Drosophila melanogaster: one gene and its partners. The protein of the gene in region 4 interacts with the protein of the main gene of each other region in a pairwise test. Each region holds a gene or a part of one and is shown on either strand. Other genes may lie near its edges.

Region 1 (7,968 bases), on a different chromosome or scaffold from region 4:
GCTGCATGCGCAGAGTATCGCCATCCAACTCCAGTTCACCAATAGCGGTCAGGAAGCTGCCTTCTCTGAGCACCTCCTCCGTCGTTTGCAATCCCCTCTGACGGACGCCAGAGAAGAAACCAAACACATGGTCGAAGAGGGACAGATTGGAGGGCTCGTAGTTGTCGTAGACCACGTCCACGTCCAAGACGGCGGCACTCAAGGCGTCCACAATCTCCACACCATGGCTCTGGTTACGCAACTCGAAGGGCATCTCGTTGGCGGATTCGTGCAGCAACTTGTGTTGTTCCGTCCAGAAGCCGGCGAATCCGCGCGTTACCCTGTGCTCATGCAGCTTCACAATCTGCAGCACTCCACTCACACTGGGCACCAGGGAGCTCCTCAGTGGCACCCCGATGGGCGTCACTGTGCCCCGGATTACCGCATATGGTATCTTCTTGTCGCGCTGCCGCTCCACCACCGATTTTAGGTCTCCATCGATGTTGTATTGTGGTGCCGCCTGAAAAGCAGCAGTTCACTCAATAAACGCCACTTATTACGTGCATTAGTATTTCTATACGCACCTTCAGCACCTTGGCAGTTCGCTTGTAGTGCACGTACTCGCGCGCACACAGGCCAAGTATTAGCAGATCCACGCCCAGTGCAACGGATTCGTGTAAAAATTCCATTTTGTGTTATGCTATTTTATTTATATTACGCTACAAAAACATATGTTTACTCAGTGTTGCTGTGTTTCCCGCTGCTCGTAACGGCTACAAATACTAAATATTCACCCTGTTGAATGGAACTAGTTCAACGTATTAGTATATGCCATAGAGTGCAGGGTCACTCTAAAATACTACTTTCATATTTGAAATTTACCGCCAAAAAGAAGTTAGCTTAATTCAATTCAATTCTCAATTTGCAATTAGAAAACGGCCAATGCAAACCAATCTATATTTTAAAACTCCATCACTTTTATGTATTTTATGCAAGAATATTTATCACTAAATTAAGATAATTAAGCCAAAAGAGGTGCATTGCTTATGGCTTGCCAATGATATTGTCGATGGTAAACAGCGTGGTCTTTGATCGGTTGCTGCTGGCCACTGGACTGCTCCCAGGTGCATCCACCACATCCTTGATGCCATTAAAAGCTTCGGCAAGGACAGGTGCACCCGATGACGAGGTTTCCCGTCGATTGAGAGGAGGAGTAAAGGCGCTCGGCGAATGTAGCTCCTCGTGCAGTTCCATGGAACTTTGCATTGCTTTGCTGGAACTGGACGAGGCGTCCACATCGTCTGGGCATTCCCTGATCTCGGGCAGTGGTCGGAGTCCGCGGGCCTCGTTGTTGAACAGACTGTTGAAGCCCAGGGATACGGACAAGTACTGCCTGTGCAGATCCGTAATCCTGTCGGAGTAATTGGGCCGCTCGTTGCAGAAGATATCGAAGTCACTCAGCGGTTCGCTGGGCGAGCGAATCTCTGCTGCACTACTGTTGCCATCATTTGAATCCTGCAGATAAATTCATTTATTCGATTTGTTTATGAGTTTTTAGATGTGCATTATACCTTTCCCGATTCCCTCTCGTAGCGATTTGGATGGCCACAGTGCCTCTGCCTGCGCGTTCTCCTCCGGCGGTAGTTTCCCTGTTCGAACATGTCCGATGCCGATGAGTCCAGCATCCAGTAGCTTCCCTTCCCAGCACTGTCGTTATCCTCGATTGTGTTCTTGTCCCGCGGAATCTTCACGAAGCAGTCGTTGAGGGACAGATTGTGGCGAATGGAGTTCTGCCAGCCCTGCTTGTTCTCCCTGTAATATGGGAATCTAAAAAATAATTGGATATTATCCAATTAATTAATTAATTAGGAGCTATATTTCCTTGACATTTTTATCAAATTTTGAAAGGGTAAACATATATACTTTATTTTCAATAAATTAACAATGGAAAAGATATTTTATAAATATAAATCGAATGCGTGTTTATCAAAACTATTTACTTCAGAATTTCACAGCTTTGAATATCTGAATTTGTATATATAAAAATCATTTTACAATCTGAAAAACTTGCTGTTGATACACATCTTATTAGCCCATATCTATATCCTCCGCTGGTTTGTTTAAATCAAGCGATTTGAAAAAGCAATAAAAATAATATTTGTTTATGTTGATAAAGAAATCGGAAATATTTAGTTTACAAACACATTGTTCATTTTCCTGTTTTTCAAATTACTTGCGATCTATTTTATATATCTGGCCGCCATTTTTTATGCACTCTGTTCATTCAGGAAAGGAAATATATACATATATATTTTAATATTTGTTAAAGATATGACTAATAAATTTAAGCCAATAAATGAAACCATTTCATATGGATAATTACCAAGTAATCTGCGTGATATTTATATATTTTCACATTAAGAAATTGGATTAATGCTCCATATTTCACCGACTTAATCCCAGTTGTGGCAAAAGTTTCGTGATAAAAACTTCTTCTCGGGATAAAAACTTCTTTGGTTTGTACAGATACTTGGAATGTGGCGGTTGTTTATTTTGGCATTTGATTTAGCCAAGAATGTCATCTAAATTTTCCTCGATTTAAGACAAGGCGGAACATTTATTTTTGTAGGATTGTAAAAACAAGAGCTTTAGTAGAATATATGTACAGAAATTGGAAATTTTATTTGCTGATTTACAAACTAAATTCACTTATTGATCTATCAAAGATCTCGTATTTTTGTATTGTTCAATTAACTTACTTATCCATGATAAACTTGTAGATTCCACTGAGGGTCAGTCGCTGGTTGGGTGCACTGCTGATGGCCATGGCGATGAGGGCAATGTAGGAGAAAGGAGGCTTTTCCGGTCGATGGGAGTTGTGCAGAAAGGATATAGGCAATCCCCAGATGTTGTTGTGCAGGGCCAGAAAGCTATCGATGCCCTGGTAGTAGAAGGCCGGTGAAAACGATCCGCACATCAGACCCTCCATGCCCGCACCTCCGACGGCACTTGGAGCCAGCGGATTGGGTGACACCTGGGTCCTGAGATAATCCGGATTCGCTAGCATGGAGTTGACCAGCTCCTCATTATCCGGCAGCATCGATCCATTGGCATAGCAAGAGGGTAACATTTTTCAAAACGAAATCCCAGTAACTTGATTCAAAGTTCTTTTATACTCTTTATGTATCTTTCGGGAACTTTGTTTCGAATATCACTTCACATTAACTTGTTAGATATTTAGGATTTTTGTCCTGTTTTCCGGTTAGCTGTTACTTCCGATTTTGTGGGCGATTCGAGCGCGACTGTGGACCATGTGTTGCGTCAGCCAAGAAGTCCGATCGACTAATGAATGAACTCGGATACGCAGATCACTTGTAATGCCTCATCCCAATCTTATGGGTGTGTGTTTTTGGGGGAGAGCAGCGCATTGGTCTATAAATATAGGGATATGCAAACACCCTCACCAAAAGATCCACACATGCGTAAGTTCTCAGAGAGGGGAAAACAATTTTCCTTGAAAAATTTAAATTTTATTAAGGAAGAAATTGAATAAATTGAAATATGAAATAAGTATAATATATTTGAGATTATTATGTTATAATATAATAAGATGATGTTGTTAATATTTAAGTGTATTCAGTTATTAACTTTGTAGTACTAGATTTAGATTGATTATATCATTACTAATTAATATCCTTGCTTATACTATATCTTTTTCGCATATACCCGTTATATGGCAGATCTCTCTTTTGAGGGGGCGTTCCTACAAATATGTTCTCTACTCTTTCCATGTTTATTTATGTCCATTCTCATTTGCCTGTATTTTCCTCGATGGGCGGAGTCAAGACCTTTTCCCCATGTGTGAGTGAGTGTGGGAGAGTCCCAGTGTGTTTTGAATAATATGTAGATTTTGATTTTTCAACAAATGAAAATCGAGCAAAGTTTACACTTGAATTACGGGCACTTGAAAGGGAATTTTTAAATCTTTGGAAATAATGTAAAGCTTCTAGGATCTCATGCGTACATCGTTAGTCCCAGTTATTAAAAAAGATTATACTGCAGTATTATGATAGGTTACATATGTATGTATGTAATCATTGCGTGAGTTAGTCACTAATTTAGCCTTTTTCTGGCTTGAAAAAGTTCATTTAGATGTTTAATCATTTTATAACTTTCAAATCTCTTGATAGCACTCACTAAAGAGCTTTGATAACTCGTCAGTTCAATTGGTTTGTAAACATTATTTAAATAAAGCGATTCCAAGAAGCACTCCGTTTATACATTCCACCGGATAGCAGCTGGCAAGATAATGCCAGAAGTCGGCATTATCTGGTCCCTTGACATCCCATGCTATCTCGTGGCAGTTGCCTTCCGATTTTTACGACTTTTCCGAGCGAACGAAGGAAAGCGAGAGTAAACTCGCGGCAGTCAAGTACGCAATTTTCCGAATGCAACCGAAAGTCTTGGTCTATATCTTAAAAGGTCGTAAAACAATTGTGTATACATTTCAAACAGGACTACGCTCGATTTTTACGATCGTTCCGTTCTCAAGTAGAAAGCAGAGATCATTTGAAAGAAATAAAAACATTGAACGCAAATCGAAGAACTGAAAATCCAAAATGCCCGAAGCAATTGAAGTTCACATGTGTGGATGATGCCAATGCCACAAAGGATTCTTCACGCTCTCTCCCGATTTATTCAAATTTTACGATCGCTTACCGCTGGTGAGAATGGGTCATAAAACAATGGGTTATCCTATGGCCCATGGTCCTCCGATTCTCTCGAAGATGTCGCTGCCCTGCGTGTTTAGCTTGCTTATTTTTAGACCTATGCTGGGAATAGTATTGGAAACAAATATTGTTTTTTATGGCCCAGCTCGGTTTGGTCTGATTTCGTCTTCGAACACCGATCGATGTTTTTCGTTGTGAAACTATGTTTTCCTATGCATTTCACCGCATCTTTTTTGACATATCCCTCGCACTAAGCCATAAAACGCCTCGGATCCTGTTTATTTAGTCGCAGCGCAGCTCCCCAACCGCAACTTAATCGCTGTGTGTAATCGCGTAGTTATAGTTATAGTTTAGTGCGTGACTACCGGTGTTGTTGTTCACGTTGTCATCGCTTGATTTATGCTGTGAACTGCTTGCATTTAGCTGAGATACATTACAGTAGAGCCTCGAGAGAAAGCGACATGTTACATCGCTCGACTCTTTTGCATGTTAAGATACTCAAAGTTTAGTTACTTCAAATCCGCTGTGTTAAGATTGTTAGCCAAACTTAGGTACTTGGGTACTCCCCGTACAGTGCCTGTTTATGAAGCTCCACTGTAAGATTTTCAACTTCAGGCACACTTTGCGGCAAATACACTCGGAGTGCCGCCAGTCGACACCTTGTCAAAATTTGATTTAATCACTCGACACCACTGTGGCTTGCTCCCGAGATCAAAGACAACAAATCATCGATCAGCATGGATTTGTGGCTGTGCTCGACAAGCGGTGATTTGTCAAAAATCGATGGGGTGCCCCATGCCGCATGCCACATGCCCCATGAGCCTGCGTTTATTGGAAGGCATTAACATCTAGTAGAACCTATTTATAGTCGCCGTAAAATGCAGCACGGACTATTAAGAGGAGTAGATGCCGAGATGATGCCGCTGCCGTGTTGTTTGACAACAAATAGCGAGGACCGCAGAGAGAGCCGGGCCCCTTCGTTCCACATCATTGACAGCAAATTATCCACATTACCTGAATTGTCAGGACCCGCTCTTTGCCCATTAGCCATTACGGCGGTGTGAACGTGACCTTTGCCGGCCATTAAATGGCACACTCGGCGTCCCGGAATCGGAAATTTATGCGATTCTTGACACTAGTTGCATGGCACCAGCTACAGCTCCAGCTACAGCTCCAGCTCCATCTCCAGCATCCCCTTCCACCAATCTCTGCCAGCATCCTCGATGATAATGATGACTTTCGGAACGCCAGAAGATTTCTGAAATGAAATGCGTGAGCAATAAACTGGTTGTTGACCTGTGACGGCGGTAGTTTACTCCACCCTGCGCTCCTTATTTGTTGGTAACAGGTGTTGGACACTCGAGTAATCGCGGCCATTTCGATTCAGCTCCTTGGCCAAAAGGGTTGGTGTTAATTAATGGCGGGTTTGAAGTCGATAGCGGTAAGCGAAAACCATAATTTATTTAGCCATTGAGTTTGTTGGCAACTGCAATTGATTTGTGTTTTGCAGACTTGGGCGGTTTCTTGGTTTTTTTTTTTTAATGTTCGCTGAAGGAGTTAAAAGGTAAATATTCTTTGAAATCTTTAAATAACCAAGAATTTATATATATGTTTGAGAAAACAAGAATTAATTGTATCTAAAATATGAGATTACAAATTGCCCAACTTTAATTCACTCGAATAACTCGAATCATTTGTAGCATTTCCCGCCTGACAGCACCTCATTTGCACTTGAAAAACCTATAAATTGAGTGATAACTTCGCCTTCGCAGCTATTTGGCATCTTCAAAAAGAGCAATCTATACACAAATCGAGAATGGCTGGCTTTCGAGTGGCCCCCAAACCACGGGAATCTCGTGGATTATTATTTCGTATTACTCATATTGATTTCCAGCCGCAGGAAAAGTTTTCTTCGATTTTCTAGGCGGATTGAGGTGGCTGGAGTCGGTCGGAAAAGCCAAGCTGGGCGGATGTTTTTGGTGAGGCGGGGTGTGGAAAACAAAAAAACATAAACCAAGCACTCACATTGATTGGTTTCCCGGCCAAAATGAATCAAGTGGAAATGGAAATGTGAATGAATTTCGCACGTTTTAAGTGCCAAATTATCGGCTACTCAACCGGGCAAACGTAAAGGAATATCAAACAGTTTTGCTGCACAGGTTTAACAACAATAAACTTTCAACAGCAGCGCAATGGATGTTTGTTTATTTGTTTAAATTTAGAATATCGACCACATTAAAATAGCAACAGCTTCAAAAAGCCTCTCAAGTGGCCGTGCGGCCCATTAAACAGATTTCCAAGATGTATTACGGCCAAAAGCGAAACCGAAGCCCCATCTTTCCCCCATTTTCATCCATTTTCCCCCAACTTTTCCATTTTCACGGCCCTGTTGTTCAGTTATAAAGAGGTATATATGTACATACGTACATGCATGTTGCGGTTGACCCCGCGGGTAATTCGCACTTCAAAGCGAGCCCCATGCAATCTGTTTATGCCATCAAGTGGGCCAGCTGGTGGCCCCCGAAAAGATCTATGGCATTTATGAGTAAGTGTGGACTACCACGGGGTATTCCTCGAGTGCCATGTGCTAATGAGCCGCCGATTCCGTGGACTCCATTCCACTCACCTCTCTCCAGTCCACCGCCTAATTATCTCACATTATCCAGGGAGCTAAGTGAAATAATCTGTGGCAAGTCTGTCTACGCACCTGACAGGATGCCAATGGGCATTATTACCTTCTATTGCGATTCCATCATCGATCCTTGTCGCCGGCATAAAGCAGCTGTCAAATCTCCAGTTGACAGCCACTTTCATTTCGATGCATTATTAAAATACAGGCAGTGGCAACATCCTGACAACTCCCCAAGGACCTGCACTGCGAGAAACGAGAGCAATTTAAAGTTGGGTTAGTTTATATTTCATTGGGGCGATTCACAAACGTATAGAGTTTCGAAGAGGCATTCATTGTTAACATAGCCAAACAGCCCCCGTTTTTCACAGTGCACCTTGCAACACACTGCTGCCACCTTGTGGGGCAGCCAGGTGAGTTGGAGAGCAACAGCAAAATCCATGGCCCGTCGCAGACTTCTTGGCGACTGTCGGAGCCAAACGCTTGTTTATTTTTCATGGGAAAGTCAGCCAACAAAGGGGGAGGTGGGCTGGAAAATTCCCCCGTGCTGTTGCTGCTGCTGCTGCAGCACTTGTTTGTATGTAAATACAAGTAGGCAAAACTTCATGCGGTGCTCATATACCGCACTCA
Region 2 (7,175 bases), 9.2 Mb from region 4:
CACAATGCAGCTTCTTTACTAAACCCTATGATAAATATAAATACAATAATATTGCGACAAGTGCATTTAAGACAGAACTGAAAGACCCAGCCCTGGTAGGCGCATACAAACCCAAACCAACCGAAAATCAAATTTGCATTTGTTTACGTTCGCCCCAACATGCTATAATCTCAATTCCCCACTCGCAGAAACCGAGTCGATGGCTCCAAGCAGCAGTGCGGCGGCTGCAGCCACCAAGCTCCTGGTGGAGATCACCACCGACGGAATACCCAAGCTGCACTGCCCGGTGTGCAACAAGGCGCTGGTCTCCCTAGCCGGATATGTGAAGCACGTAAAGAAGCACCAGCCGCCGGGCGGCTTCGAGTGCCGTCACTGCGATGCTCGGTTTTGCCACGAGGAGGAGCTCACCCAGCATGCAAAGGATGAGCACGGAGTCACTGGCGCGGTAGCTGGACAGGAGCGAAAGCCTTTCGTTTGTGAAAAGTGCGGCGCGGAGTACAAGTACCAGGAGGCATACCGTCGCCACTGCAGGACCAAGTGTGGCGAGGAAAAGCTACCCAGGGTGAGTAGAACCGAAACAGTGGAACCGTTTGTAAATATATTAATAATAATTACTTTCTCTTCCTTAGGAGGAATCCCGACCAATGGAGTGCAAGTGCTGCTACACCCGCTTCTCTAGCGCCTCTAACCTATCCAAGCATCGACGCAGTCGTCCCGACACCTGTGGACAGCCGGAATACGATTCGCCCGGTTCATCCGATGGGATGAAGAAACATAAGGCCTTCCGCAAGAAGGACAGAAACAGGGACTCTGATGATGAAGATACCACCAGCGAAGAATCGGAAGATAGCGATGATGACATTCCTCTGGCCAGTCGTCTGAAGACGAAGCTCAAGCAGGAGAGCCAGAACTCGGACTCGGGCGACGAGTGTCCCGACTTCGAACCCAACAACAGTGAGGACGATGCGGATGCATCCGGATTCCAGCTTCCTCCGCCGGCTATGGTCAAGGTGGAGGCCTTCGACGAAGAAGATTTCGAGTACCAGGACGCCAGCATGTATGTGAAGACCGAAAGCACCGATATCTTTAGCAACGAAAAGGATAAGCTGCTGGATGTGCTGCTCAATGAGGGTGATGGCTTAAAGCCCTTTGAGAGCCTAAAGGTGGAACAGGGCGCTGGTATACTAGACGAAATCGCGGCCGTGCCGCTAGTGGAGGTTGCGGAAGAAGATGTCTTAGAACTGAGGGGTCATCAAATGGAAAAACCTCCCGGACCAAGAAAGCGGGGCAGACCGCCAAAGGAAAAGATACCTGTGGTCAAGAGAAAGTATCGCAAACGAAACGCACCTAGATCGCCCTCGCCTGACGATTCATCGGGTACACCAAAACGCGTAGCTAAGATCAGCAAAAAGGAGCTAAAGGAGCGCCTTAAGATGATCAACAAGATGGAAAAATCCTGGAAGTGTCCTCACTGCGTAAAAATCTACCACATCCGCAAGCCCTACGAAAAGCATTTGCGCGACGACCACAAGTTAAATGAGGCGGAAATGAAAGAGATCTTTAAGGACGTGGACGTCCATGCTAAGCTGGACGAGGAAGTCTTTAAGTGTCCCATATGCAGCAAGATCTATTTGGTGGAGAAGCGCTTGGTCACCCACATGAAGGTGCATGGCGAAGATGGCAAGCTGACTTTCAAGTGCCCATGCTACTGCAACCTCTTCTTCGCCACCAAGGAACAGGCCACTGAGCATGCTAGGGCCCAGCACAAGGAACTGCTCTACTGCGAAAAATGCGACAAGTACATGACCGGACACGACAGCCTCAAGAACCACGAACGCAATTTCCACTCGAAGAAGGAGCCGCGCAGCCAGCAGCGCAACCTCATCTGCGACAAGTGCGGCAAGAAGTTCACCGGACGCACATCGCTCTCTGACCACGTTCGTTCTGACTGCGGCCGTCTACCGCTCTACGGCTGCAGCGTTTGCGGCAAACATTTGTCCACCGCTGGGTAATAACTATTTGTGTTTGAATGTTTATTCTAAGACTGTTAGTAACGCATCTTCCTTTCCGCAGTATTCTCAAGACGCACATGCTCCTTCACAAGGCAGACACTCCGTACCAGTGCGATAAGTGCGGCAAAACATTCAAGGTGAAGGCGCAATACAAGTCGCACTTGAAGACGCGCCACACGGACTACAAGCCGTACAAGTGCCACCTGTGTCCCAAGGAGTATCCGTACAGGGAGAGTCTGCTCACCCACATGACCGTGCACACGGGCATTAAGCGTTTCCTGTGCAATAACTGCGGCAAGCGCTTCACTTGCATCTCCAACTTGCAGGCACATCGCAAGGTGCATGCCGATACCTGCGGCCAGTTGCCTTTGAATGCCAAGGCCACCCAGTACATGGGCGTGCAGCGCGGAAAACTCTTGATGGGCGCTAAGCCGGAGGCGGGCATGGAGTACGAGGAGACCAAGACCTTGATCGCCCAGGATGTCATCGACAGGGACATGCCCATGGCACAGGAGCTCAACTTCCCATCTGACGGCTCAGCGCCATTGGCCACGGTGCCCCTGAACTACGCCTCCACACACCTGGTGCCACACATCGTACTGCAGACCATGCAAGCCGAGGCCCGGCGAATGGAGTAACTTCGGAACACATTCATTTAGCGATCCCACTCAATAAAGATTCTTTTGTAAACGGATGCGTATTCTACTGTACAACAAATGGGATGACAACTACATAATAATATCTACTTAATGACTGGATTAATTAAATAACATTGAACGTAAATAAGCTACATAAAATTGATGTAGATGAAGGTTTAACGCCATACGGACCTGTCAAAAACATTTAAGAAAAATAAATTTCCTTATAAAAACACGTTTCGGAATTTATTCGTAATAGAGAAAATTAATTATATGGGATTTGTTAAAAAAATCTTTATATTTATTTACTTTTTACTTGTTTATGTATTTTTATATTGACTAACAGCCTTACAAACTATATTTCTTAATGTCTCGACTCGCTAGTTCAGTCTGAAATAGGGCTGCTGGTATCTGCCTATGGGCATCCGATCCTTGGTCCTCAGTCGTCGCACTGCCTCTCGTATGAATTTGGGCTGCAGGGCACCGGATTCACCTTGGGCCTCCATCACGTCGAGGGCTTCCTCCACAACCTCGCCGACGAAGACCTTCGCAATGCCGGACATGGCTATCACAACATTCTGGGACACGGAACAGCCGGTGATAGTTTGCATTAGACGCTTGACGGCGGCCTTGGGAAAGGCAGAGCGACGATACATTTCGTAGCGATCCAGCTGTTCTTCCGTAAAGTTGGAAACGAGAACCCTGGAGTGGAATAAAATAGTTTTTATAGGATTACCCCTTCGAATCGCTTTAAGCTAACTTACTGCATTCGTTCGCGCTCCTCCTCCTCCAGTTCCTTCTTCGTCTTGAGCTTTTTGTGCGCCGGCTCGCCAGAGTCACCATCTCCGTCCGTGTTCTTGTTGTCGTTGTCCCCATCCGCATCCTTGCCATCACGATCCGCATCGTTTCCCGGATCCGAGGTGTCGCTGTCCTTCCGCTCGCCGGAGGCCGACTGGAAGAATTTCAGGTCGACATCGTCGCCGTCGCTTAGGGAGTTGCTTTTTTGCTGCGTGGGAAAGAGGATTTCGTCCATTTAAATGAAATTTGAAAAGCACCAGCGAATAATAAACAAAATCAACCAGGGATGGAGTTGCACCATATTCGCTTTTTGCAACACTCAAAAGTTCCGCACCACATAATAGATGAATATAATTCAAAATATCGGATTAAATATATTAAAGGTATATCATAGTTGTTTATAAGGTGGCTTTGAGATTTTAATAAATAATAAATATATAAATATACAATATTCGATAAACTTTTATTTTTGTAGTGTTTTTTTTTTCTTCAAATTAGTGCTCAAAGTCAAATTATGTAAATTTCAAATTGAACATTCACTGGTTCCGATAGTCCACAGCACGTTTTACAGCACTGGCCTCTGACACCTCGTGTTTTTGTTCTTTTCTCCGCATCGCCATCGCCAGGCAAGAGTGCGCGCTACATTTTCGTTTATTTCATCGTTCAGCCAGCAACCAAGGCACTGCGAAATGTCTGCAACCGAGACTCTGAATGTGGAGGCGGCAACGCCCGAGATCGGCGAGGAGGTCAAGAAACAAAAGAAGCCCAAGCCGAACAACAAGAAGCTCCGCCAAGGTGAGTGACCTCATGCGAGCAGTGCACTGTGGTAATTGCATTTGCACGACCCTCTCCGCCTCAACCACCCACCACCCACTGAACTAACCACTTGCCCACAGAAGCGGCAGCCAAAATAGCCTCCGGAGAAGGCGGCGACGAGGAGCTGACCACAAACGGAGATGCCAAACCGGCAACACCGGCCGCTCAGCCGGCAAAGAAGAAGGGGAACAAGGGCAAGAAAAGCGGTCAGACTGATCCGCCCACCATACCCATTGCTAAGCTTTATCCGGACGGCAACTTCCCCGAGGGCGAGATCGTGGAGCACCCCACGCCCAAGGATATGCCCGACGATCGTACGGCCAAGGACCGATTCACATCGGAGGAGAAGCGTGCTCTGGACCGTATCAACACGGACATCTACCAGGAATTGCGCCAGGCGGCTGAGGCCCATCGTCAGACGCGTCAGTATATGCAGCGCTACATTAAGCCGGGCATGACCATGATCCAAATCTGCGAGGAGCTGGAGAACACTGCTCGGCGCCTGATCGGCGAAAATGGTCTGGAGGCTGGTTTGGCCTTCCCGACTGGTTGCTCTCTTAACCATTGCGCCGCCCACTACACGCCCAATGCCGGAGACCCCACTGTACTGCAGTACGACGATGTGTGCAAGATTGATTTTGGTACCCATATCAAGGGGCGGATCATTGATTGCGCCTTCACCCTGACCTTCAACAACAAGTACGACAAGTTGCTGCAGGCCGTCAAGGAGGCCACCAACACGGGCATCAGAGAGGCGGGCATCGATGTGCGCCTATGCGACATCGGCGCCGCTATCCAGGAGGTCATGGAGTCGTACGAGATCGAGTTGGACGGCAAAACATATCCCATCAAGGCGATTCGCAACTTAAATGGACACTCCATCAGCCCGTACCGTAAGCAAAAATCTATTTATTATAAATATTTTAAATATGCTTATGCTTTCCTTAATATTTTTTGTTTAAATTTATTGTGATTTGTGCAAACACTTAATGAAGTCTAAAATTAAATTCTCAGGCATTCATGCTGGAAAAACGGTGCCCATTGTGAAAGGCGGAGAGTCCACTCGCATGGAGGAGGATGAATTCTACGCCATTGAGACGTTCGGCTCGACGGGTCGCGGTCTGGTCCATGACGATATGGACTGCTCGCATTACATGAAGAACTTTGATCTGCCGTTTGTGCCGCTGCGCCTGCAGTCATCCAAGCAGCTGCTTGGCACCATCAACAAAAACTTCGGCACCCTGGCCTTCTGCAAGCGTTGGCTGGACCGCGCCGGTGCCACGAAGTACCAGATGGCTCTCAAGGATCTGTGCGACAAGGGCATTGTGGAGGCTTATCCGCCGTTGTGCGACATTAAGGGCTGCTACACGGCTCAGTACGAACACACAATTATGCTGCGACCCACCTGCAAAGAAGTCGTTTCCCGTGGCGACGACTACTAGTGGGATGAGGAACTGGACAGTGACCGATTTTCGGCGATGTATGGCTTGCATTATATACGGTTTTTGATATAAGTTCATTCTATTGTTGATTTTTTGTGAGCATGCGCCAACCGAATTATATATACAATGTATTATGCTCAGAATATAAGCGGAGTGAGATTATTTTCGAAGTTGTTCTTGTCTTGGCAGATTGCTACGGAGCTCACGCCAGTAAAGTGAATAGTTGTGATTGATAGGCTCCTTATCTAATAAGAATGACCTGTATATGTAGACAAATCCTTTGCCTGTAAGATAGTACAGGATCTCTATGTAACTGACTATGCTGAAACCGTACATAAGCGAGAGAATGCCTCCAAAGCGATCTAAAGGGTTAGTTAATATTTTTTAACTACTCGTCTTAGTTATTTACTGTACTCACTTAGCAGAACAACCCAACTGCTAACCATTTGAGATTTTGTGGCTTGGGCAAAGCGCAGTTTAAAGAAAAGCTTTATAATGGCTAATGGTCGCTCGTTGGTCAATCCCTTTCTAAAATATTCGATATTCATTATTTATCAAAGAAATTGTGGTACATCACTTACAGCAACCCGGTAAAGTAACCACTGCTATTATAAGTCCGTCTCAAAGGAGCCACGTTGGTGGTGATACTCATGCTAACTCCGTTGCAGGTGGGCAAACAGTGCTCGCACTGCCTCTGGACCAAGTTCTCTTCCTTGTTCTGCAGGTAGGCGAAGTCACTGTAGCCATACCAAATGCTCTTCCATCTCATTAGGCATGGAAGATCGGGAAGCATACAATAGTCGAGATCCATGGAACTGCCGGTCAAGGGCGGAGATACACAGCCGCAATGATCGATCATGCTCTTCATGCGGCATACCAGAAGGCACTCGTCCAGGGAGTAGTACGATCTGTAGGAACGATGTTCACCAGGTATTCCGCGGATTGGTTTCTAATTACTTACTGGTTCAGCAACCGCATGCCTTCTTCGGGATAGTAACAACGTCGTATATGTGGCGGGACTCCGCGAACCCCATCGCCTGAACTAAAAAACATCGGCTGGATGGGAATCTCCACTATGCTGTAGTGATCCACCAGCACCTCTCCCAAAGTCGTAGACTGAATGGTGGCGTAGTCCTCTTGGGGGAAAATTATGAGCTAAGGATAATAGCAAAAAAAAGGATAGGAGACTACAATTTGGAATCCTATCAACTCACTTGAAAAGCACTATTGGAATGAAAGGTATTTGTGATATCTTCCTTTGGAGTATCCTGCAGCACAAATTGGACGCTGTTCAAAATGGAATTCGATTCAAAGACAACCATTGGAACAGCTCTCATTTCGGAGTCTTCCTCAGCTCGCTTGGTCCTTAAAAACTTGTATATTAGATAGCCATATAATGTACGATACACTTACAGAAATTGGGAATAGCTCGGCCGTCTATAGTTAAATATGCAGCACACATTCGACGA
Region 3 (7,864 bases), on a different chromosome or scaffold from region 4:
TTCGCATAAAGGTAAAACTGTCACCAATAATAGCCCAGCCCTGACCGCACATAAAATCCTTGCTGCGCCATCCTGAGAGAAAGTGAGACAGATGCCTGAAGTCAGAGAGGGAGCGCAAGAGATGGCTATAATCAGTATTGGCATTTTAAGTGACACTTGGTCTGCAGAGCTCGGCAACCCCCACAAGCCCCGCTGTCACACCAATCTGGATCACATCCCCCAACCCCAACGGCGAACCAAAGTCGCGCCGTGCTCCGCCATTTGTATATGAGCCAAATAAAAATGCATACCAAATGAGGTTGGCAGCACTGCCAGGATTTCGAACGGCAGGAGCGGTTGGAGCGACTCCTGGGGCGGTATTATTCGGAGGCACTTGCGCCAAACTTTGCTGCTGAATATTCCATGAAGTTGCCAATAAAGTCAAGTGGCAACGACTGAAGCTGTGGCTGCACCAGTTACAGTGCATACACTGAAAGAAGTTCGGGCATTTATTCCAACTAATTTGGTTTTACCTTCGGTAACAATTATAAAATTATATTTTTTCAGACATTGATTATTAGGAATATTCAGCTCTGAGAAGTTAAAACTCCAAAAGTACTGTAAAGATAACAATTAGATTCCAGAGGTTGGTTTTATCCTGTATCCTTACCCTATAAAGCTATGAGATTGGAGCTCCAAGGTTTTAGACCAAGCGGGTACGCCAAATCGGTGATCCTTTAGGTGGGTACTAAAAAAATATCCTACAACTAAATATAAGGATTTTCACAGAAAGTCGACAAGCAGTTAACTGATTTAAAGTTAATTGAATTTCACCAATAATCTGAAAGACACAACCTATTCTCCCAGTGATTGTGTAGATACACTTAGGCTAAGTTTGTTCTGGTTGTTGCTGTTTTGTCTGCCACCCGACTGCAGTGCGACGCTGCATACTAATTTTCCACAGCCCTGCCACCGCCCATCGCCCACCGTCATCTCGTTCTCATCTTGGAATCGGAACCACCACCACCAGCCTCTTAGCCATCTCCTCCTGCCCCTGCATGAATGCGATGTGGTGGTCTGAGCCTCATCATTTCGTATTCATACCAAGCACCAATTCCTCGTCGTTGCTGCCGCTGCAGTTATTGTTGTTGCCTGCTATTAAGTGAAATAAAAGTAAAAATGCAATAAAAATGTTGGCCGCCTCTCGTTTTGCATTAAAATTGCATTACAATTGCCGTGGATGGGGCGCTGTTGTTGCTATCTTTGTTGCTTTTATTACGGCAATTGTTTCTGCGTTGTTTCTGCCCAAATGAAATCCAATTAGCCGACTACAAGGCCTACCAACCAACGACTGCCAGCAGCAGCAGCAAAACAGCAACAATGACATTGCGAGGCGGTACGAAGAGAAATGGAGTTCGCCTCGTGACTTTTTCCAGAGTCCTTTCCACTGCCAAGTGGTGTGCGTGTGCTTTTGTGTGCCTTGCCAATTGAATATGCAGTAATTGCCTTTCTTCATTTTTGGCCATGATTTTTTGCTCGTGTCTGACACAGAAACATGGCCAGTTAAGTGCAGAAATGAATATTTATAGTCGTTACTTCTAGGATCGGACTCCGTTTAAATGCAAAGTGAACGGTTTGATTCTGCAGCCCACTCTCAAGAAAAATTGAATAATAATCAAATTATGAATAATGATATTATAAAGATAGGTAAAGATATGTAGATATAATTAACTAACATAATTTAACATTGAACAAAAAGCTGCATATGCAGCTTAAAACCAGTGATCAATATGTACATACATTGGCACTCTTTTAAATCACAGAATAGTATTTGTGAGGTACAATATAAGACCTTAAAGCAAATCATGTTTAAGAGTAACCAAACTGTGCAAGTAGAGATATAGTAACCCTTTATTATGAAATATAGATATAATTATCCTCTGACCAGTAGCGAATCTCCTAAGCGTAGTAATGCATTATCCAAGTTATCGCAAATAGGATTTGGGATTTTCATAACATTGCCTTATTCTGAAGGGGTTCACATTCCACATCTCGACTCAGCTATCTCAGCTAATGAAAACGGAGTACGCAATCGCTTCTGGCCACACACACGCATTCCATCCAGGCCGGCTAGAACAACACCTGAAACTGAGACTAAGACTAGGACCGAGATCCCGGCCAGCGATGAGCAGTAACATGGCTCGTGCCCAAGAAAAACTGTCAATTAACCCGTGGGGTGAACTTGTGGAAAATGCCAGAGCTGCTGCATCCACTGCATGCCGCGCAATTTGCATTCGCATGGCCGGGGCAAATGGATTGGATTCCTGTGGCTTCAGCTCGAGTCTGCTTATCGCAATCGCCGCCTGCCAAATGCCAGGCGATAGCGCGTAGAACTCTTGGCGCTAATAAAGATCTCAGTAGTAAGCGGTGTGAGGTGGTGAGGGGTGACATTAGGCGGTGGTGCAGGGCAGCCCTCCTGGCCAAATCCGCTGCTTTGTGAACTCAAGCTGACAGAACGCTATTTCCAATTGTGCTATTAATCTGCCACATTTGCACTTCCGCGGAAAAGAGTCGGCGGGCGGATGTGATCTCTTTCGCTCGTCAGTTGGCTGACTCGCTCTGCAGGGGTGATTTGCGGGCGAGCGAGTGAGACAGAGCGAGGCAGAGTGGTAACGCTTGGCTAACCTGAAAATAGAAACAATCGAAATAAAAATACATTCTCTTCATGCTCTCGTCTAATAAAAAACCCCAAAAGCAAAACGTTTTCCATTTAAAATGTCGTCGCAACTGCCAGCGGGAAGTGGACGTCGAGAGTGGCAAGTGTGTGGGGCAAACTCCGGCCAGCGGCCAATGGCGGTTGGCCGAGGCCACGCCCCGTGGCTCAATTACCGACCAGTGCTGCCCATCGGCGGGCAGAGCGAAACCTGTTTCCACGAGCGAGAGGCAGTCAGGCGCATGTGCGATCAGAGCGGGATGGATGGCTCAAGGGTGGACCAACCAGAAGAGGCAGGTTGCTGGTATTATGGTAGGTTAGGTTCAAACAAGGTGGCAAACTGGCTCTTAACCGAAATAGGAAGGAAGTCGGCAGCGGCGTCGACGTCGGGCAACTGGTTTGACTTGTTTCCGGCTCACTCCAACAGCCCAAACCCACCAGCAATCGGCAGAGGCAGCCAAGTCGGCAGAGGGCAGGCAGAGCAGCGGCCGTCGGCACAATTTGATTGCATTTATGAAAAGCGTTTTCGCCCGCTAGCACGCGTCCGCTCCCAGCTCGCAATTCGCCATCCGTAATCCGTAAACTTTAATCCGTAGACCGTAATCCGTGAATCCAAAGCAGTTCTCAGTTGGAATTTCCCGCAACGGGTAGTGCTTAAGCGCGGAAACTGAATTGAAATCAATCGGACGATTAGTGTGTGCTTCGCGGTTGAAACACTCTACATCTAACTATTAAGAGAAAAGAGTGCCCAATAAGATTCGAAAAGTGCAGTGAGCGAGCTCCAAATTGGCGCCACTAATTGCCAAAATGTCCAGCCACGAGGAGGATGACCATGAGCACGAGAACGAGCACGGCGAAGAGGTGGAGGAACAGGAGATCCACGTGGATGTGGACTCGGACTCGCGGATGTCATGTGGCAGCGGATCCGATGTGGATATGGACGGCGGCAGCTGCTACGACGAGTCCGAAACGCCATTGAGGTGAGAAGGAGAGCTTTTAAATAGAACCAGGAAGTAGGAAAAATGTCCCAAAAATATAGATATTATCAGTATAGATATACCATAAATAAGCAGATCTTCCAATTACAATAAGACTTCTACATATACATACATATATTATTTTTTTAACTAGATTGTGATAAAATGCTTTGGCTTCCGTACTACTTACTTAAAACTGAAGAGGCCTTTTTTTTTAAAATTCATTTTGGTAAATATTTTTCAAATATGAATAACGTCTGAATTTATGTACGTTGCAAAATCGAACAATAAAAAATATTTTTGGTTTAATTGTATCGTAAATAATCTGCTACACTAAACTTGAAAAGAGATTGCATCTCTATTAATAATAATAATGGCTTTACTTTCAAATTATACGATGTACAAACATAATAATTGGTCTGAAACAATTCATTACGGAAAATCCCCAAAAAAAATATATTAAAGAAAAAGCTCAGTTTTTCGTTTACTCTTGATGGTTATGATCATCATGCAAATTAATAAATATTTTTTTGTAAGTACTGGGCTTGATTTAGTTGGCCACATTATTCGTTAATTACTCATAAGTCAAAATTTAGATCGACAGCAATTTGATCGACTAACTGAGAGAAAAAGATCTATAAGCTATAGTTATAATAGTTGGCATACAGTCTTATTTTATTGCCCTATAAAAGTCAAACAAGTATTGTGGCGGAGAAAAGCTATTTGCATTTGTTATTACGAGCTCATAACTCCCACTGTTTTACGATCTTTAACATTGTCACTCATAATGCTCACAAATCCTATTTTTCGAATCGTGGCTCAACGCCATTGAAATGCGTTGATGTTTAAGCCCCATTGTCCGCTCTTACAAATGGTCCCATTTTCCAGCGACAAAAGGGGATAACAAGATGCCAGAGCATCCAGCAGACCGTGTTAACTGATCCCATTCAAGCGTTTGTGCGCTTAGAAGAACAGTGTGAACAAACCTCTTAAACGCTAATGAATTGACCACAAAGCCACCAAAAGAATCAAGTCGAAATGTCCCATAAAGTGCCAAAGAAACTCCCTGAATTTACATAGTTCACGGATGGCCAGGGTTTCCAATAGACGACGACGATAAAACGCACATTAGTAAGGCGCCAAAAACGGGCTGTGATAAGACATTGGGGTCCATTTGGGGCTCAATCTGGAGTTGGATCTTCGGCTTGAATGCCGGACAAAGACGAAATCGTTTGTCGGATTAACATTTTAATAGAGATCGTCATAAAAATGCCATAAAACCCGCGTTCCAGCGAATGTAGATCACCAGATAGCAGCAAGTTTTGGCCAGTGAAATAATATGTGTTTGCTCATAACTTTTGATATTGGAAAGTGTCTGTGTGTCGGTGGTTGGCGATTTGAGATCATTGTTCCGATACAATTCCATTCCTGTTCCAAATGGGTTTTTACTTTTTGGATTTATAAATTAAATGCCGTGCGTGACTTGTTTTCGGTGCGTCAGTTGATGGCATTTGATGATTTATGGGCGCGTATTAAATGCCTCTAACGGCCGTCAGCATTTGCATAATTACTTCATTTCCAGCCGCATTGCGTATACGCAGCGGTGGCCACACGGGTTCTGCATGTCATGTCGTCAACTCGGCTTATCCGCTCGCGTGGGCTTTTGGTTAGTGGTTCCGAGACTGGTACGCACTGCAACAGACTTAATTATAGTCAATGTTCTCAGGCTTTCCCGCTTATCGGGCGACACATTTTAATGAGCCCGCACCTCCAGAGGGCTTCTTTCCCTTCGATTCTGATGTCTTTTCTCCGGTTTTTATTCCCAGCGAGTCCCTGCAGTCGGAGCAGACGCGCTCCTCGTCCAGTGAGAATCTGCCCTTCAGCATATCACGCCTGCTATCCAAGCCCTTCGAGACGAGTCACCACCACCACAACAACAACAACCACCTGCTCAGCAGCAGTCCGGGCTCCAGCAGCAACAACAACAACAGCGGCGAAAAGGGCGAGGAGAAGGAGCTACTGCAGCAGGAGGACCACGACCTGGCCTATAAGCTGGCCACCAGCATCGCCAACTCGACATACGGAAGCGCCGCAGCACTATACTCGTATCCGCATCTCTATCCCTCAGCGGCCGGCGGTCATGTGCTACGTGTACCGCCCCAGAGAACGCCGCTCACCTGGGCACTACCGCCACTGCATCACGCGGCGCTGGCACATCAGGCGGTCAAGGATCGGTTGGCAGGTGAGTGAATAGCAGCGAAGTCAAGAGGGTTTGCCAAATCCAACCCATTCGGGGCCCCCATGTCGGGATGGCCCATGTTCGCCGAGATCTTTCGGGGGAGCGATCCTCCAATGACCCGCGGTGGCAATTGCTACTGTTCCCCAAATAAGCACGATCAGAGAAGACTTTTAAGGCAACATGCCTATCGGCATGTCATTGTTGGCCAACACATTCGTGCACCAAGAGAAAATGTGGCATTTGAAATAAAAGAATTGGTAACATTAAGAATAAAAATGTTATATATGTGCCTACATAACGCGTAGTTGGATGCATTCAATTGTGCAATAGGGTGTAGGAACATAATTTTAAACTTCTTGATAAAACATATTTTTGTATATTCATTGTTGAAAATAAGGTGCGAAGAACGTTGTCTAATGGTCTAAAAGGGCTTACTTACATATTTCCTTATAATATAATTACGATGGTCTATTAGATGGTATTTTCTGTGGGTAAGAAACAGCTTAAGGCTAGAACACAGGTCTCATAATACGAATTTTCGCTCAGTGTACACTCACTCTGGTGAGCTTGGGATGCTAAAGTATAAAAACATGTTTGCCTTCAAATGCGCAATCGCAGCTTAAGTTAAAAACTTAACGCTGAGCCGCCGCCCAGAAGCGACTCAGGAATGAGATGCGCCTTCTTATTTGCATGCGCATGCGCAGTTGAATTTGTATCTGTATCTGTCGCTGGTCCTCTGAATCCGTATCCGAATCTGTATCTGTATTCCATCTGAATCTGCAACTTCACGTGCAGCTGGGTCTTCTGGCTCCCTTTTTGTTAATTTGTTTACATTATGAGCTTCACTTGTAGCTACAAGCGATGGGCACAGCGCGAGCCCTTTGAAATAATGAGACGGCGTTGATTTTATTACGCCTCGGCAGCCGAGGGATCTTCAATGGTGTGGAAGGGGGATCCCGATAGGGTTCGGATCCTATAACTCATAATATTCGGGCCTTTTTCGGCCTTGTGATGTGGAAAAGCTGCTTAGGAGCAGCGCAGCCCGGCAATCTGACGGGCTTTTATGGCCGACATCCGCCCAGTGGTTCTGGTTAGCTGTTTGGCCTTTTTCTTCATTTTAGTTATTTTAATGAGCTGGTTTACATGACTTTTTAATTTCGCGCTGCGCTCGAAAAGGAATTAATTACGCATTGGGCGGTCGCTGGGCTCAGCGAGTGAGTTTTCTGTCCTCGCCGGCTTATTTATCGCCGCATACCGCACTTCACATTTGAGTCCAACTGACATGGTCAGCTTTTAATTAGCCAGTCGAATGCTGGCGATCCGAGGGCTGCATATCCATATCCATACTTGTGTGTATATCCGCCGAGGAGGGGCATTCGATCGAGTGGATCGTATAGAATGGAATGGGATCGGATCAGTCACTTCGAGTCGACTATTCCACCTGAGGGGCACACTTATGAGCCCGCCGGGTGATCCAAGCTTCTGCCGCTCGGTTTCGTTTTGTCAACATCTTCGTTTTCGTCTTGGTCTTGGTCTCGGCCAACGTCTGTGTCTTTTTGTGTTTATTGTGTCGCTTGCCTTGTGGCTGATAAGCTGGCGCCTTGGCTTTTTTCATTAACAAGACAAACGAGCGTCCAGGGTGCGGATCCGATCCGATCCGATCCGATCCCTTCCCGCGACCAAAGTGCTCCTCTCTCTTCCGCCGGGGCCCTTAGCGCCATATGATTAATAACCATCGCATGTTAATTCTCGTTATTTTTTGGGAAACTACGTCGCAGCAGGCGCCAATTACTTTTCGGCCATGCACGCCCTAATGCAGTTTCATAACAGCCATAATAGCCTGATTGGAAGGGAGTTGGGCTTTTGTCACGACACTTGCCCACACGAATGTTACCAATCAATGGCGGAGTAGGATCTATAGGCTAGTGTATAGAAATTCCCTTTACTAGGGAGCTC
Region 4 (8,191 bases):
CAAATATAATGGGATTCCGTATCGAATAAAAGCAAATTTAGGGTTAAAATTATATGTTTGTTTCTTGTAAATACTTTTTAGTCGAGTAATCAGCATGATCGTATAACCTGAAATATTTAAAATGAAATAAAAATTTTAATATTGTTAGATTACAGAAAATTTGCAAAATGGCAGCTGGGCACATTAAATCTTATCAACAAACCGAACAGCTGACACACACGTCCTTACCCAACCACCCCCTTTCAAAAATAATCCGTCACACTTATCAATTAGCGCGTTTATGATCGCCCCTCGGCCCCACAAATCGCCCAGATGCTCGGCCCGTGAGCATATTTATTTTCTCTCGCCCCACGGAAAACTTCCACGGGCTTCAGTCTGTCGATTCGCTCGAAAGCGCGCTGTACGCACAAGTTGGCGGAGGAGAAGGCAAGGTCAAGCAAGGTCTTTCTTTTCGGGTTGGTAAATAATCTAAATTCTACGTGCGTGCGCGGGTGGTGAAAGCATAAAAGAAAGAGAAATGGCTCAGGTGCGACTGCTGGTACAGGGACTTCGGCGTAGCCTACTCAATGTGGGCGTGGCCGCGCCCAACGAATCCACAGCGACCCACAAAAGATCGCAGCACAGCTCGTCGAGCTGCGGGTAAGTCTCTTGAGATTACGATAGGGTTCTCTCATTTTCGGGGGTGTTCCGATCCTAAGAATCTTTTCACTGTTTGCAGAATATCATTTAGGTGTTCCAAATGAGCTAAGTAAGCTTCTTTTCATTTAGAATGCGCTTTTAAAATCATGTTTAGTTAAGCAATGTATATTCTATTTACTTTTGTATTCTTAATTGCATAGCATAGTCTTTTCACTGCAATCTGCAGCCTTTATCTTACTTATTAGTTCCCAAGATCTCGACGTTCTTGCGGTCTGACAGTCGATGAACATATTGATATGGCTAGATCGACTTGACTGATGATCCTAATCAAAAACGTGCCCGCACACTCTTTACTCTAACGGATATACAAACATCTTTCTAACTTTTAAAAACTTTAGAAGTCTTAAGTTTATTTAATTTTTGAGGCTGTTAGCTGATATGTTTTGTATTCCCTCAGAGATTATGATCTGGTTGTCGTTGGTGGTGGCATCGTCGGCGCCGCATCTGCCCGGGAGATTGTCCTGCGCCATCCATCCCTCAAAGTGGCTGTCCTGGAGAAGGAGTGCAAGCTGGCAAAGCACCAGAGCGGCCACAACTCCGGCGTCATCCATGCTGGCATCTACTATAAGCCTGGAACCCTGAAAGCCCGCCTTTGCGTGGAGGGCATGCATTTGGCCTACGCTTATCTGGATGAAAAAAAGATCCCGTACAAGAAAACCGGGAAGCTAATTGTGGCCACGGATGAGAAAGAAGTGAAGCTGCTGAAGGATTTGGAGAAGCGTGGCATTGCCAACAACGTACCGGATCTGCGAATGATCGAAGGCAGCGAGATTCAGGAGATCGAACCCTACTGCCAGGGAGTGATGGCGCTCCACAGTCCGCACACTGGTATCGTTGACTGGGGATTGGTTACCGAGCATTATGGTCAGGATTTCAAACAGTGCGGTGGTGATATCTACCTGGACTTCAATGTCAGCAAGTTTACCGAGACCAAGGAGGGCACCGACTACCCAGTGACCATCCATGGCGCTAAGCCCGGTCAAACGGTTCGTACCAAGAACGTATTAACCTGTGGCGGTTTGCAATCCGACCTGCTGGCTGAGAAGACTGGATGCCCCAGAGACCCCCGCATCGTGCCTTTCCGTGGAGAGTATCTGCTGCTGACCAAGGAAAAACAGCATATGGTCAAGGGTAATATTTATCCGGTGCCGGATCCACGTTTCCCCTTCCTGGGAGTTCACTTTACGCCGCGAATGGACGGATCTATCTGGCTGGGACCAAATGCCGTTCTGGCTCTGAAACGCGAAGGTTACACGTAAGTCTTCTTAGAGCTCATATTTAAACTTGTCTGACACTTCACTTCTTCCAGCTGGGGTGACATTAATCTTTTCGAGCTTTTCGACGCCCTGCGCTATCCGGGCTTCGTAAAGATGGCGAGCAAGTACATCGGTTTCGGACTCAGCGAGATGTCCAAATCGTGGTTCATTAACCTGCAGATCAAGGCGTTGCAGAAGTACATCCCGGATATTACGGAGTACGATATCCAGCGTGGTCCCGCTGGAGTACGTGCCCAAGCAATGGATCTGGATGGCAATCTGGTGGACGATTTTGTTTTCGATCGCGGACAAGGATCGGGAGCGCTAGCCAAGCGAGTGCTTCACTGCAGAAACGCCCCATCGCCGGGCGCTACTAGTAGCTTGGCCATTGCCAAGATGATCGCAGACAAGATCGAGAATGAGTTCTCTATCGGCAAGTGATGCCTCTATCCCAAATAATGTAACCAAAGTCCAAAACTAAGTCCTATTTTCTGTTCTGCCTTTATGTCAGTAATGTCTGTACTGATTCGCCACTATCGCATTTCTTTTCGAAACTGTAATATTGATCTATTGTGTATAAAACAAAATTAAAACTTGTGTAGGTTTCTAAGATAGCCTTTAATTCAGTTCCAGTATATGTCGGTTTCTTCTTTGAGGTGAATCATCGTCCTTAATGCCCAACACCTTAATCTGCTTCTGTAATGATTTCTCCTCCAAGGCAGATTGTATCAGTTTTGTGCACTTTTTGTTTAAAATTTTCAGACCGTTTGCAGCATGCTGACGCATTTGAGGATCACAGGATTCATCCGCTTCAATCGCTTTTAAAAGGCGATAAATGGGGAGTAACATTTCCTGGTAATCCAGAAGGTTCTCCATGCCGTTTAATAGTTCAGCTAAGACCAGGACTGCTGCACGCTTAGAGGGAACATATCCTCCGGTGGTTAATTCGCTATTAACAAGTTGGAGTAACTCGTGGAAGAAGTTCTGCACTTGAAAGGCCAAAAGGCGACAAAGCTGGGCAAGATTGGCAAAGGCTGACATCCGGAATTCGTGAACAGGAGACCGGGAGCCGTACATGAAGCAGTTGAGAAGAACAGCCTTGTATCGAAAGCAAAGAGGACCTGGATGGGATTAGTATGAAAGTTTAGGAGTTATTCTTAGCTGTGTAGAACATTGCTTACCCAACTCCTGAGCGACTTTCAGAATAGCTTCACCCACTACGAGGCGGTAGTCTAAGTGAGCCGTCTCTGATAGGTACTCATCACTCAATTTGTCCAGCACATCGGACTCCATCACATGAACAAGCGACACAAAGAGCCGAACACAATTTAAGAAGGTGTAGGATTCCTTATCCTTGAGAGTGGTCAGGGCTAACGCTATGATAAGTTGACCCTGCGCTAAGGTAGCAGGATCTCTTTTTTTCAGCAAATCAATCATCATCTGAATTCCATACACTTGCATGTGGGATTGTTTTTCCTCTATCAAGGACCGAGCTCTTTGAAAAGGTTGTATTTTAACAGCCTCACTTGGTCGCCATGCGCCGTGAATTATTGTAAGCAATGATTTTACAGATTGCTGGATAAGAGGGTTGGAAGATCGAGTACCCAACAGGTGCAATTGTTCTTTCAGTTCCTTACAGGCCTCTGAAAGTTGAATATTCTCACTGCCCTCAAGAATTTCCTGCAAGAGGTTTAGAACGAGAAGTAGGATCTGATCCGTGGTATCTTGCTCTCTAGATCGGTGGACAAGCAAGTCTTTTAGTATATGTAGAAGCTCCTTGGTATGTTGTGATAGCTGAGCTCTTAATGGTTGGTGGGCTACCATTTGGTTTAAAGCAATGAGCAAATCTAGCTTCAGTTGATATTTGGAGTGCAGAAAGTCTTTGAGCTCTGCTTCTGATGAAATAAAATCTACGCTGGCTGAAGATTTATCATTTATCTGTTTAGCTATGAAGCCCAGAAGAGAGAGGAAAACTTTGCAGGTGAGGGAATGATGAGAGCTTGATGTGAGTAGACCGGGCAATATTCTGCCCATATCGTGATCTGCTAGATGATCTTTGTGAGCTACTTTAACCTGAATTTGAGTTGTGTTCATGGAAGGCAGGATTATAATGCGTGGGTTTAAACACTTCCAAGGAGGTTCCTTCTCAATTTCCCATTTAAACAGCTTCTGGAGTATCGCAGGTAATTCGTTTTTCATTTCTCTGTTGTCCAGACAACGCAAAATAATGGCAGAAATCTGCGATGACGCCGGTAATTCCATTGGAAGGCCATCGTAGAGTTGGAGCAGCAAAGGAAGGTAGGGAACGAGTAGATTACTGGGTAAGCAAGCTACGGTTGAAGAACAAAAGAGATGCTGCCATAAGAGAATGCGATTGCACAGTTCCTGGTGATCCATTAAGATAAGGCCATTAATAATGTCTTCTGGGTTACAAAGCGTTTCCCAGTGTTTGAATAATATTTCTTTTATCAGCTTTTGATTTGTATCACTTAAATCGTAAAGTCTTCTGAGCGATAGGACACCGGCGCACATTTTGTCCGCATTCTGCAGATAGAACTTACAATATTCTAGCACCTGGAGAACCATCTTCTCTTGCGCTAACTGAGAAAATCCTTTTCTGGCCACAATACTAGCCACAATTTCCGCATTTCTGGAAGAATTCACATTGGGATTTTGATGCAGGGCCTCAACAAGACTAGCAAATCCTTGGGGTAAGTGAAGCTTTCCTAAGAGTTGACGGTGCAATAATTGGGCCAGAGTTGGGCAGAGAGTCGTAGCTTTAAAAAGCAAGATGTTGCGAAAGAAATCTGCTTTGGATTCATATTGCCAGAGGTAGGCTATAGCCTTATCCAGCAGTGGAGAGTCTTGCTGCACACGTAGACTCACAATGGCCGCCAGTAGATCCCTTTGCACCAGCTCCATCGAGTTGGCTATGTGGTATTGTCGAATATGCAGTAGATTAATAAAGAACTGAATGCTTAGAAGCATCAATGAAAAGTTAGCTTTGATTTTCCCCTGAGCCTCACAAAAGATGGGCGACTTGTAGAAATCCTCATGTAGCTGGCATCGAAGCGAGTAATATGATAATTCTTGGGAAGCCTGGATACACAATTTCAGGTGCGCTACCGAAATAAGATCCTCCTTGGCGTCGCTGTGGAAATTAATGTTCCTCATGATCGAATGTAGCACATGTTGCAATCTTATTATATAGCATATAGTACGATCCGAATCGGGATCAATACTAGATTCGTGATCGTCTGTTAACTGATATTCCAGGCACAGCTCATGCAATTGCTGACCAATCTCGAGTTTAGCATATTTTTCCAAAATTCGCAGGTTGATTTCCAAGGCTTCGGCAGTCCCTGAGTTATTCGCCGTATTTGCTGTCGAAATATTAGTATTAGGGATACTACAATTATTATATGATGTTAACCAATTTACCTAGAGCTTTACTAAACCTTAAACTCTCTAGAAGAGCAAAGTACTTGGCCGTATTTATCATTGTTATCCCAGCAAACTACAATTTTGCGAATTTAGCGACCATTTGCTAGAGATGCTTGTTTACAATTGCACCAGCACAATCGATAACATATTGATAAGGGAAACACGATGTTGGCAGCATAGCTAATTAAAACTGCGCGATAGTTTAATGCAACTGTAGCTATATGTTTTATTGAAAGTAGAACCATATTATCTTTTTAAATTGGATCAAATTACAAAAAATTGTTATCATAAAACCTATTTTGTAAACGGGGATTTCCTTGTTTTCAGAATTTCGAGATTGCAACCAACTTATCTATATATCGATAGGCGGCTGCACCAGCCGCGGGTTGCGCATCTGACTGCAGCAAAGCGCCCTGGTCACACTGGCCCAACAACTCGAGAGCAGCAGGAAAATCGAACAACTTTCTTTTTCCACTGCATTGTGTGTGTGCATGCAAAAACACAAAGTGCGCAGAATAGCTTTATTCAGCTAGCCGATACGACTCGAAAGTGGATTAATTGGCCAGCGGCACCGACGCCCCGCCCACCGTCAGCCGCCCTCGCAAAATTAAAAATTGCCAAAAACACCTACGCGCAGGCAATTAAGACCGTGTTAGCTAGTGTGCGTGTGTGCTCGCGAGTGTGTGTGTGTGTGTTGTGCTGCTGGGGCAGTAAACATTTTCTAGTGAAAATCGGGGGAAAATGAAGAAAATCCTGTCTAAGTTCGAGCGCAATGAGAACTCTCGACTGGAGAATCCGCCCAACAGCAGCAGCTCGTCGTCCTCGAACGAGAAGAACAGCTTCGTGGGCAAGGTCTTCACAGTGGGACGCGTCACGGTCACCGTGGAGGATGTCCTGGCAGAAGGTAGACGACTATATATACACTCTTATATATGTGCTCCCATTCCCCTACCTACAACACGTCGCCCGCGATTATGCTTATCACCTGCCTGATTTACAGGTGGGCAGTAGCCTGCCGTCCGCTTTTCGGTCTCGCCCCTCGTCACAGATTAGATAAACCCCTTCAGCGCGAGAACTCCCAAATGTGGGGCGTACTCAAAGCGCTAGAGAGCATAAAAATCAGCTGCGTATCCTCCATAATTGGGGACACCACTTGTCGCATTTCCGATTAAATCCAAATAAATTACTCCCAATAATTTCTGTATAAGATGTTAAACTCAAAACAGCTAAAATCTGACTTTGATATATTATCTTTTAATAAAACTGTAAAACATTTTAAATTATTTCATTAATTATGAATACTAAATACTGGTTTGTAACCTAAATTCCAACTAATTGAACTGCAATTTTGCCCTTGGCATAGAACTACATATTTATGTCCATAACTCGGCTCTCTAATGGCGTGCAGATATTTCGTCCAAATTTATGTCAGTCTTTAAAGAGTTTATTTTTGCCAAAACCAGAAATGCCAGCATTTCTATTGTGACAAATGGGTGTCCGCGTTAGAGAAACCCGACTGTACAAACACAGTTACGGTTCTGGTTGGTTTTTCCATGGAATACCCATTGAATTCCCGTAGCCACTACACATGGCCACAAATCAATTGAATCAATTATGTTAATTTAGCCAATGAAGCGGCAAGACCAACACTCATCAGCCGACTGTCTCCGACAGTCTTCCGTTTTTCACCTTTCGCCGAGCTAAATGGCAAAGTTCGCCCCTAAGGAAATCGCCTGTGCTGTGTCCTTGTCCTTGAAATGCGGAGTGCTCCACTCCACATCATCCTGCAGTGCAAGTGCCTCCTTGTTGGCCTGGCACCAGTACCCTCCGCCCAACATTTGATCATCTAACGATTGCTCACCCACCGCCTGGCCAGCCATTCGCCACCTTTCCTTTAGCCATTACGTAGTGTTTTTTACTTTTTATACTTTTGGCAAGCGGACTCGATTCGTAATTTTGTTTTGCGCTGCGCTGGCGCCGCTGGCAATTAGTCAGCTGTTGTCGGGCATACCCTGTAATTAAAAAGGCGGAGCGTTTGACGAACACGGTTATTTGGTTAAAGTTATTGAATTAGTATAACAAATTATAAACTAAATTATATATTATTTATTAATTCATTTAATCCAGTAACGTAACTATTGGTATTTCATTTAAGAAAGAGAAAAAATAAATAGAGTCTTTTGCAGATGCTCAATGAATAAAATGCGCGTATAGCCAAGTTTAAACTGCTCGATATGCTGGATACTTCCAAAGTAACACTGTGCTTAATCACCTTCAATATTTACCTGCTTTCTTTGATTCGATTTTTGAGCAGCCAACAACAATTACAAATGACTAAGCGACAAACGGTTAACGAATGAAGCTTTCCCGCCTTAACCCCTCAGCCCCCACCCTTAACCGCTTACTGCCCACCTTGCAGTTGACGCCCCTTCAGACGTATTTTCTACCCTCGTTTGCGTTTCGAATTGCCTTCTCGCGTTTTCTCGCATCGCTACAATTGTGCATTGTTATTGTTGCTTTTCATACTATTATTACTGGATGTTGTTGCTGTACTTTTTGCCAATGTTGATTTGTTGCTGTTGCAACCTTCAGCATTGATTAACATTTGACGCCATAATTTCACAAAGTCGAGCAAAAATGGTTACATTTGCTGGTCCGCTATTCACTTCTCTCTATCGCCTACACAGGGAGAAATGGTGTGTGCATTTACAGCAAATGTTCCATAAATATTTTCAATATTAAAACATTCTCCTAATCGTTGCATCGTCTATGCATCTAATGTATTGAGATCA

The links.
Region 1: the proteins of Tango6 (region 4) and FoxL1 interact in a two-hybrid assay, tested with the Drosophila melanogaster proteins (one large-scale study listed by BioGRID).
Region 2: the proteins of Tango6 (region 4) and und interact in a two-hybrid assay, tested with the Drosophila melanogaster proteins (one large-scale study listed by BioGRID).
Region 3: the proteins of Tango6 (region 4) and C15 interact in a two-hybrid assay, tested with the Drosophila melanogaster proteins (one large-scale study listed by BioGRID).

Annotation. Positions count from the first base shown.
Region 1 is NT_037436.4:4,014,235-4,022,202, reverse strand, and holds FoxL1 (forkhead box L1), read right to left. Parts: upstream 3,326-7,968; 5' UTR 3,110-3,325; coding exon 2,739-3,109; intron 1,807-2,738; coding exon 1,551-1,806; intron 1,495-1,550; coding exon 1,024-1,494; 3' UTR 924-1,023; downstream 1-923. Other genes in the region: Mul1 (mitochondrial E3 ubiquitin protein ligase 1), read right to left, coding at 1-499, 564-668. UniProt on the Drosophila melanogaster protein: Transcription factor. Coordinates the placement and migration of various organs during embryogenesis, including the salivary glands, hemocytes, germ cells and Malpighian tubules.
Region 2 is NT_033779.5:9,759,492-9,766,666, forward strand, and holds und (uninitiated), read left to right. Parts: upstream 1-3,877; 5' UTR 3,878-4,137; coding exon 4,138-4,243; intron 4,244-4,344; coding exon 4,345-5,157; intron 5,158-5,278; coding exon 5,279-5,706; 3' UTR 5,707-5,847; downstream 5,848-7,175. Other genes in the region: zf30C (zinc finger protein 30C), read left to right, coding at 189-562, 630-2,008, 2,074-2,650; Taf11 (TBP-associated factor 11), read right to left, coding at 3,031-3,352, 3,415-3,683; ppk18 (pickpocket 18), read right to left, coding at 5,866-6,068, 6,125-6,234, 6,288-6,614, 6,668-6,861, 6,921-7,071, 7,120-7,175.
Region 3 is NT_033777.3:21,496,759-21,504,622, forward strand, and holds the start of C15 (C15), read left to right. Parts: upstream 1-3,227; 5' UTR 3,228-3,499; coding exon 3,500-3,672; intron 3,673-5,495; coding exon 5,496-5,911; intron 5,912-7,864.
Region 4 is NT_033779.5:18,966,365-18,974,555, reverse strand, and holds Tango6 (transport and golgi organization 6), read right to left. Parts: upstream 5,529-8,191; 5' UTR 5,458-5,528; coding exon 5,397-5,457; intron 5,339-5,396; coding exon 3,137-5,338; intron 3,077-3,136; coding exon 2,574-3,076; 3' UTR 2,552-2,573; downstream 1-2,551. Other genes in the region: L2HGDH (L-2-hydroxyglutarate dehydrogenase), read left to right, coding at 518-639, 1,097-1,954, 2,009-2,396; Nak (Numb-associated kinase), read left to right, coding at 6,141-6,303. UniProt on the Drosophila melanogaster protein: May be involved in protein secretion and Golgi organization.